Linked DNA regions of Macaca mulatta. The protein of the gene in region 2 binds, or shares a complex with, the protein of the main gene of each other region. Links are inferred from orthologs where the notes say so. Each region holds a gene or a part of one and is shown on either strand. Other genes may lie near its edges. The genes, in order: CPSF7 and NUDT21.

Region 1 (3,814 bases), on a different chromosome or scaffold from region 2:
GGAGGTCAAGGTGGGCTGATCACGAAGTCAGGAGTTCAAGGCCAACCTGGCCAATATGGTGAAGTCCTGCCTCTACTAAAAATAGAAAAATCATTGGGCGTGGTGAGGCGTACCTGTAGCCCCAGCTGCTGAGGAGGCTGAGGCAGAATGGCTTGAACCCGGGGAGCGGAGCTTGCAGTGAGCCAAGATCATTCCACTGCACTCCAACCTGGGCAGCAAAGTGAGGCTCCGTCTCAAAAAAAAAAAATAGGGTCTCACTATGTTGCTCAGGCTGGTCTCAAACTCCTGCTTAAGTGATCCTCTAGCCTCTGCCTCCCAAATTACTGAAGTGCTGGGATTACAGGCATGAGGCACCCGCCTACCCCTCCTCCCCACCTTTTTTGAAACAAGGTCTCACTGTTTGCTCAGTCTGGAGTGCAGTGGTGCAATCACAGATCACTGCAGCCTCGACCTCCTGGGCTTGAGCAACCCTTCCACCTCCACCTCCTAAGTAGCTGGGACGACGAGATGTGTACCACCACACTTGGCTAATTTTTGTATTTTTTGTAGAGTCAGGGTCTCCCTATGTTGCCCAGGCTGGTCTCGAACTCCTGGGCTCAAACAATCCTCCTGTCTTGGCCTCCCAAAGTGCTGCGATCATAGGTGTGAGCCACTGTACCGAGCCTAATTCTTAAAATCATTAATGTTGCACCTTGAAAACTAAGTAGGCAATGGCGTTACTATTCTTAGTCAATTTTCCTAATTTTTTAAATTGAAAGTTCATAATAATAACGATGGCTATTAATTATTGAGAACTATGTGACAGGTACCATGAGTGCTAAATGGTCTACATGGACTCTCACACTAAAACTTAGCAAGTCATTGGGACAGTTGCTTTTATTATCTTCATTTACAAATGAAGAAACTGTGGAACAGAAAGTAATATGGCCAATTATTAGTGGAGGAACTGGGATTCAAATTGCTGCCTGAATGCAGACACCATGCTCTCACTCAGATACCAAGCTTTTCAGTTAAGAAACAAGCAGAAATCTCAGAAAGAGGTGAATCTCAGAGTCAGATTCCCCACAAATGTGCAGAAAATCTGCCCTGCAATTCCAGTTATGTAAATCAGAAGTTCCCCCTACCCTTGCTGCATTTACTTTTGCTTTAAAGAGAGAGAACTCTTCACTATAAATCTTTTTTTAACAAAAGATCCCCCAGCAGCCAGGAACGGGGCTTCTCCCACCTTTCTCAGTGGTGCCGGTCCCGTTCTCTATCCCGGTGTCTCTCGTGCTCCCGGTTCCTTTCTTGGAAATAATCATCATGCCGATCTTCATTATGAAGCAGATCCCGGTGCCTCCTGCTGCTCTCCCGGGACCGGCTAGGTGATCTTTCCCGGGACCGATGTCTTTTCCTAATTAGAAAGATCCTTCAGCCTCACTCAGAGGGCCTACCACATTCTTTCTGAAAGAATGTGGTGTTTTGGTGTCTTCCGATATTTGCCTAAACTACTCCTCTATTACTCTATCATAGGCCCACTGTCTGAGAATTTTAGCTCTTTGAGGACTAGTCTTTTTTGGGAAGATGATTAACGGGTAAATTTATCTGTTGAGAACATAATTTATCAGGTGCAGTGCTAATAGTTTTGTATGGATTATCTGACCTAATCTTTACAGCAGGTCTATAAGATAAATACCATCATTGTCCATTTTAAAAAATGAGAAAAATGAGGCTTGGAAAGTTAACTAACTTCCATATGCAAGAAGGTCATACAGATAGTTAGCAGCAGAACTGGGATTCCAATCCAAGCTTGTAGCATTCCAAAGCCCATGTTCTTAACAATACCTTTCTGTATTTTTTTCCTACATGAGCCCATGCCTCACCTACCAGATTTCAGATGTTACAATACTTATTAATGAAAGTATCTGATTAGTTTCTTCCCCATAAAGACATGAAGGCTTAGGTCCAGACTTTCAGCCAGGTCTTTCCCAGATTCCCTGGGCTCCATTTGTCCATACTCCCTATCCCTGGAAGAGTGCTGCTTGGGGCTGGTAGGTGAGGACACAATCACCAACTCACCTGGAAGAGCTCCCACTGGCACCCACACTGTAGGACTTGGCTTCGATGCCATGAAGACAGTCCTTAAGAGAGGAGATGAGGACACGGCAACGCTCATCATTGGCAACCCGGGACTGTTTGATAACCGCAATGGCTGTGAGCAGCGTCTCAATAGCGTCACTATAATCCCCTGAAAAAGGATGAATGAGAAAGGCCAAGGGTGAGGAGAGATGGTAAACTAACTAGACCAAAAGGAGAACTCAGGAGGACACAAACCAAGAGTAGCTAGCTGTCCTAAACAACCACGGTAAAAGAGACGAGGCAGATGTTGCAAATGTAAAACTGGATGACACCTATATTCCAGCGGTTTAGAATCTGACAGATGTTTTCAGATGAACAAACTGACACGTTGCTGTCCAGGGGCTATTTGACATCTATTAAAATAAACAATGTGCATATTTTTTGAGCCAGCAATTCTACTAAAAATTTTCTACTTCTGTTCACAAGTGTGTATGTTTAACAGTGTTTTAGTGTTGTTTATTATCTTCAATAGGATCTGGCTATATAAAGGAACATTGGTTCTATAGAGTATTACATAGTTGTTAAAAAGCAGGAGGTAAACCTGTATGTAAACAAAGTAATCCATGTAAAGCCATTAGCACAGTGCCAGGCACATAGTAAGGATCAGTAAATTTTATATGTTGATATAACAGGTGTCCAGAATATACTAATTGAAACAAGCAAATTTCAAAACCATATCCCATTTTTGTAAAACAATAAAAATTATATATAAATTGTCATATGCACAAAAAAAATTCTGGAGGAATATATACTAAACTATAAAAGGTGGTCTTATTGGTGGTCCTTGTATAGAGGACTATTTTGTTTTTGAGACAGGTCTTGTTTTATCATCCAGGCTGAAGTGCAGTGGTATGATCATAGCTCACTGCATCCTTGAACTCCTGGGCTCAAGCCATCCTCCTGCCACCTCACCTGGCTTATTTTTCAAAGTTTTTTGGTAGAGATGGAGTCTCACTATGGTGACCACGCTGGTCTCAAATTCCTGGCCTCAAGTGATCCTCCTGCCTGGGCCTCCTAAAATGCTGGGATTACAGGTATGAGCCACTGTACCTCATGAGACTTTCTAAACAATGTGTATTTCTACAAATTATTTTTAACCTACAATCAGATGTATATGTGTATATATATGTTATTTACATAAAATACATATGTGTAGTATATGTATACATTAAAAAAATTATGGCTGGATGCAGTGACTCACGCTTGTAATCCCAGCACTTTGGGAGGCCGAGGTGGGCAGATCACTTGAGGCCAGAGGTCAAGACCAGCCTGGCCAACATGGTGAAACCCGGTCTCTACTAAAAATACAAAAACTAGCCAGGTGGTGTGGCATGCACCTGTAATGCCAGTTATTTGGGGGGCTGAGGCAGGAGAACTGCTTAAATCTGGGAGGGAGAGGTTGCAGCGAGTCGGGATCATACCACTACACTACTCCGGCCTAGGCAATAGGGCCAGACTTCGTCTCAAAAAAAAAAAAAAAATAATGCTGTCATAAAAAACTAGACCTTTCATTTCCCAACTCTGAGCAATGCCTGGCTCAGGGATAGTGGTCATGGGGCGGGTACCTGCACTTTGCTTTTCCAAGCTAAGTCAAGAGCATTAAGGACAGAAGTTAATACAAAGAAAATATGAATCTAGGCAGGGGTCCAGTGAAAATGAAGCCTGGCAGCTTCCTCTGTGCAAGGCAACAAGAATA
Region 2 (4,420 bases):
CTTATATGTCGTACGCCCTTAATTAAAGCCTTACAGCAAGAAGCCTTTGAGTAAGAATTTACGCCACATTTGCCCACCTATAGTATCTATTCTACCAAAAGCCCTTGACATTAATAGTCAACATTATTGCATCTACTACACTCAGCCATTCTTGAAAGGGGGAAAAAATCAAGGTTGCCAAAACTTTAAAAATTACTTTAAGGCCGGGCGCAGTGGCTCAAGCCTGTAATCCCAGCACTTTGGGAGGCCAAGACGGGCGGATCACGAGTTCAGGAGATCGAGACCATCCTGGCTAACACGGTGAAACCCCGTCTCTACTAAAATACAAAAAAAAAAAATTAGCCGGGCGAGGTGGCGGGCGCCTGTACTCCCAGCTACTCGGGAGGCTGAGGCAGGAGAATGGCGTGAACCCGGGAGGCGGGGCTTGCAGTGAGCTGAGATCCGGCCACTGCACTCCAGCCTGGGCAACAGAGCTAGACTCCGTCTCAAAAAAAAAAAAAAAAAAAAAAATTAATTTCAGAAGCCAAGTTCTAGGCATATGAAAAAGCTATAAAATAATTAAAATATACCATTTCAAGGATGCTTTAAAGATTTAAAGAACGTCCCCAGTAGACCCAAGGCTAAATCTAACACCATCATCCATAGCAGCAGCAGATATGCTACACAGCACGATGTGCCAGGCAATTTTTTCAAACGCTTTACATATATTAACATTTAATTCTCACAACCTGAGTTAGAAAGAATTAAGGATAGCCATTACACATCTCTGTTGCAAGAGCCAGCTCCAATATATCAGTAATGTCAAGATGAAATGTCAGAATTTTCACCTGTGAAATCAGAGTGCCAGCCCAGACATACATATTGTTCTCATCATACTGTGAGCTTCATAAAGCAGGGGCTACACCTTACTTCCTCACCACTGTATATCCAGTATTGTGCACAGTGCCTGGCACAAAGTAGGCATTCATGCAATATTTCCTGAAAGAAAATATACTGGGGAGAGCGCATTTGTTTTCAACTTAATATTAACTCAGGTGAACTTAAGTTCACAACACAATGATTATTTCTGAATATTTATATTTATATAGGAGAAGAAATGTACTGTAAATCAACCCATAATTTTAATAGAGCGAAGATTAAAATCTTGCTGAAAGCTAACTATTTTGCCAAGTTAATTCTACATAATGGCTTGGTGCAAATTAATTCAGTAATCAAGACAAAACAAGAAAAGACTGTGGGTTTTAGCTCTAATCACCACTGAAAGTAACCCAGAAGCTGTGCTTTCATACTTTTAAAAAGGATAACATTTGCCTTTACCATTTGATGGATTTTTTTCTTAATTTTTAAAAACATTTTTGTAGAGACAGCCTATGTTGCCCAGACTTGTCTACAACTCCCGGCCTCAAGTGATCCTCCCACCTCGGCCTCCCAAGGTGCTGGGATTACAGTCTTGAGCCGCCACTCCTGAGGACTTTTATACACACAACTATCGACTAATTCCAGATTTTATAAACCCAGCATTTCCATCATCTAAATTTCCAAGCCAACACATTTTACAAAATAAAACAATGTTAACCATCTTTTCAACTTCAAATCACTTTGGTTGGGGGACGGAGAGAGAACGTCCATTTATTTTAATATAAAACAAGAGAAACACCTAAACTGCCCTACGAAAACATCAATACCACCAAATCCTTGCACTTGTACACAGACTGGCATAAACTGGCCACTTTCCTCCATCAGGAAAATAGAGGCACCACGTTGCCTCGAAAACAAATCCTCAGACACGATTTTAAAAAGCATTACTGACAATTTCTTCAGACATCTCAAACGTCAATTACCTGCTACAGCGAGTCTGCTGCTGAGAGTGACCTTGAAATGCAATGGTTTCAAGTGTTGAAACGGAAAGGTGTTGAAAATAAAACACAGCCCACAATGGGTTTTCTGGTACAAACATTCTGGTTCCCTCCAGTCTGAAAGCCCAACCATAGCAGCATCCTTACTCCCAAGGAGGGGCCTACTTGGGGTGCCTGGGATGCTGGCGTTGAGACATCATCAGACGACGCGAAGGCATAAGGCATGAGGCAGGGCAGACAGCCCTGAGCACATGAATAACATGTGTTGTATTCATAAACCGAAATATTTAAGTAGCAATTAAAAGGAAAAAAACTAGACCTAGGCATTACAGCTGGATCTCGAAAGCTTACTGTCAGAGTGAAATGTGCAAAAATGATACTAGGTTATACCATTCGTACCACATCAACAATCACAAAGCAATACCATATACGTGATGCCAAAGCATAAACATTTCACGGGAAGGATAAAACACACACACACACACACACACACACACACACACACACACATTTTGAAGTTGGTTACCTCTGGAGAGGTGGGGAAAGGATGAGTTAAAAGCAAACTCCGTTTTTCCCCATTATGACCGAATACATAGGATGGGAACAAGCCTTCCTTTACAGAAAAGGACTCTTAACTCCCGGAGGTAGGAGGATGAGAAAGGGGCCTGAGGGAGCGAGGAAGGCGCGCATCCGCCAGCGGGAGTTGGAGGCTGGGAGGTGCGGAGGCGTGAAGCACGCCGAAAAGCCGGGGACGCGCGGGAGTGTCTGTAGGAGCGCTCACGAGAGAAATGCCCGCCAAGGCCGCCCCGCACTTACAGATTGATGGTGCGCTCCAGGGTGAGGGGCTTGGTCTGCTGGATGTACTTGTTGCCGAACTGAGTGACCCCCCGGGGCCAGCCGGTCTGCGAGCGATTGGGCGGTACCACAGACATGCTGGCGAGCTCCGGCGCTGGCGGCGAGCAGAAAGTGGGAGGCAGGGGAGACTTTCCCGGTGCGGGAAGCGGTTATCTGCAACCCCCTCAGCAGCTACCGCCCGCCATTAACAGGAGAGCGCAAGAGGAGGCGTAGGCACGCCGGAAGTGAACCCGGAGCCTCTGGCGGCAGGAAGTAGAGAGGAGGTGGCCTGCCAGACCGAGCGCCATTGGGCCAATAGCTGGTGGGATGGCTGCAATAGCTGGAGCTCCCATTGGTAAACCGGGTATAGGTTCCGCCTCCTCTTGCTTTGGTGATTCCCATTGGAAACACAGTAAAGGAGGCATGCCGGGAATTGTAGTCCCCTCAGGAAAGTAGCGTCTTGATCAGTGTGGCGTGGTTCTGTACCTTGGGAGGAGATGAATGGGAAGCGGCCAGCGGAGCCTGGCCCAGCCCGGGTGGGAAAAAAGGGAAAGAAGGAGGTGATGGCGGAGTTTTCGGACGCTGTTATGGAAGAAACCTTGAAAAAGCAGGTGGCTGAGGCCTGGAGCCGCAGGACGCCGTTCAGTCACGGTAACCGGGTGCTCTCAGGGAGGGGCCGCCACGCGGGGATCTGGGGACCTCTGAAAAAGCCCTGGGACTCGCGCGCAGCCCTGGGTAGCGGGGCCGCCAGGGAAGACGCTCTTGGAGGACTTTGACCACCTTGTATCCTCCTGCCTCGGCTGCTGCTCCCTTTCACTCCAAATTCGGTTTGAATTTAGAAATGTGAGAAAAGGGAGAAATGGAGGCCGGAGAGTTTTGGGAAGCAGAGGGTATGCAAGTGATAGTTGCATTCTGGAGTCACAGATTACTGAGTTAGAATCCTCTCCCCTGATTGCGCGTCGCCGGGCAATGGAATTAACCTTATTGAACTTCAGTTGCTTCCTGAGTAAAATGGGATAGTTCATAGTATTTACGTCAGAAAGTCTGTGAATGGGAGCAATACACTAATGCTTGCAAGCTTCAGTAAATGTTTCCCTGAGTAAGGCCCAATACACATCTGGACAAATACGGGAGTAGCTGATGTCATTTCTCCTGCAAGGGCGTTGCTCGGCTGTCCCAGGAGAGTCTAGCCAGGGCATTTGTGGCGAGCTGCCAGCTCGGCTCCCTAGTGTACTCGTCTCTACGCGCCTGTAGTTTGACTCCATGTTGTATGAAAATAAACGCGCGTTGACCAAGGAAAGGAGCCTACGTTGAACGATTCCAGCCTCAGTTTTAAATATCACCTTATGTGTTCAGAGCTCTGCTTCATGCGCCAGGCATCCCCTTCTAGAGTTTGCCGTAATTTCTCTTTCGTTGTCAAGTGCTTTGAAGAGGTGAGTCCTGGGTAGGCTGGATGCCTATAGAAAACGATGGCGTAGTGTTAAAGTGCAGGCTCTGTTCTCTCAGTTTCTACATCTGTAGGATGGAGAGAGTGATAATGTCTCCCTCAGAGCTGTTGAAAAGATTAAATGAGATAATGGGCCTGGGACATGGTAGGTGGTGCTGATGATTACAGGATGGGGATCTAGCCAGCTGGAAGCAGTGGGTAAATGTTGGGGTAGAAATCAAGGAATTAGAGGCGGTTATGCCTGAATTGACCTGAATTTTTTTTTTTTTTTTTTTTTTAAGTA

What was found.
Region 1: the proteins of NUDT21 (region 2) and CPSF7 are in contact, whole or in part, in a crystal structure (PDB 3N9U), measured with the Homo sapiens proteins. The link is inferred for Macaca mulatta from reciprocal best matches to the Homo sapiens genes NUDT21 and CPSF7. Residues at the interface, in NP_008937.1 of Homo sapiens: Arg68, Asn152, Glu154, Pro156, Tyr158, Tyr160, Pro162, Ala163, His164, Ile165, Thr166, Lys167; in NP_001129512.1 of Homo sapiens: Trp91, Trp92, Thr93, Thr94, Asp95, Gln96, Glu112, Lys114, Phe115, Glu117, Asn118, Arg119, Ala120, Asn121, Gly122, Gln123, Ser124.

Annotation. Positions count from the first base shown.
Region 1 is NC_133419.1:12,633,962-12,637,775, reverse strand, and holds part of CPSF7 (cleavage and polyadenylation specificity factor subunit 7), read right to left. Parts: intron 2,228-3,814; coding exon 2,059-2,227; intron 1,394-2,058; coding exon 1,231-1,393; 3' UTR 1,226-1,230; exon of another isoform or gene 692-1,225; intron 1-691.
Region 2 is NC_133425.1:52,007,778-52,012,197, forward strand, and holds the start of NUDT21 (cleavage and polyadenylation specificity factor subunit 5), read right to left. Parts: upstream 2,921-4,420; 5' UTR 2,789-2,920; coding exon 2,673-2,788; intron 1-2,672. Other genes in the region: prolyl 3-hydroxylase OGFOD1, read left to right, coding at 3,188-3,341. UniProt on the Homo sapiens protein: Component of the cleavage factor Im (CFIm) complex that functions as an activator of the pre-mRNA 3'-end cleavage and polyadenylation processing required for the maturation of pre-mRNA into functional mRNAs.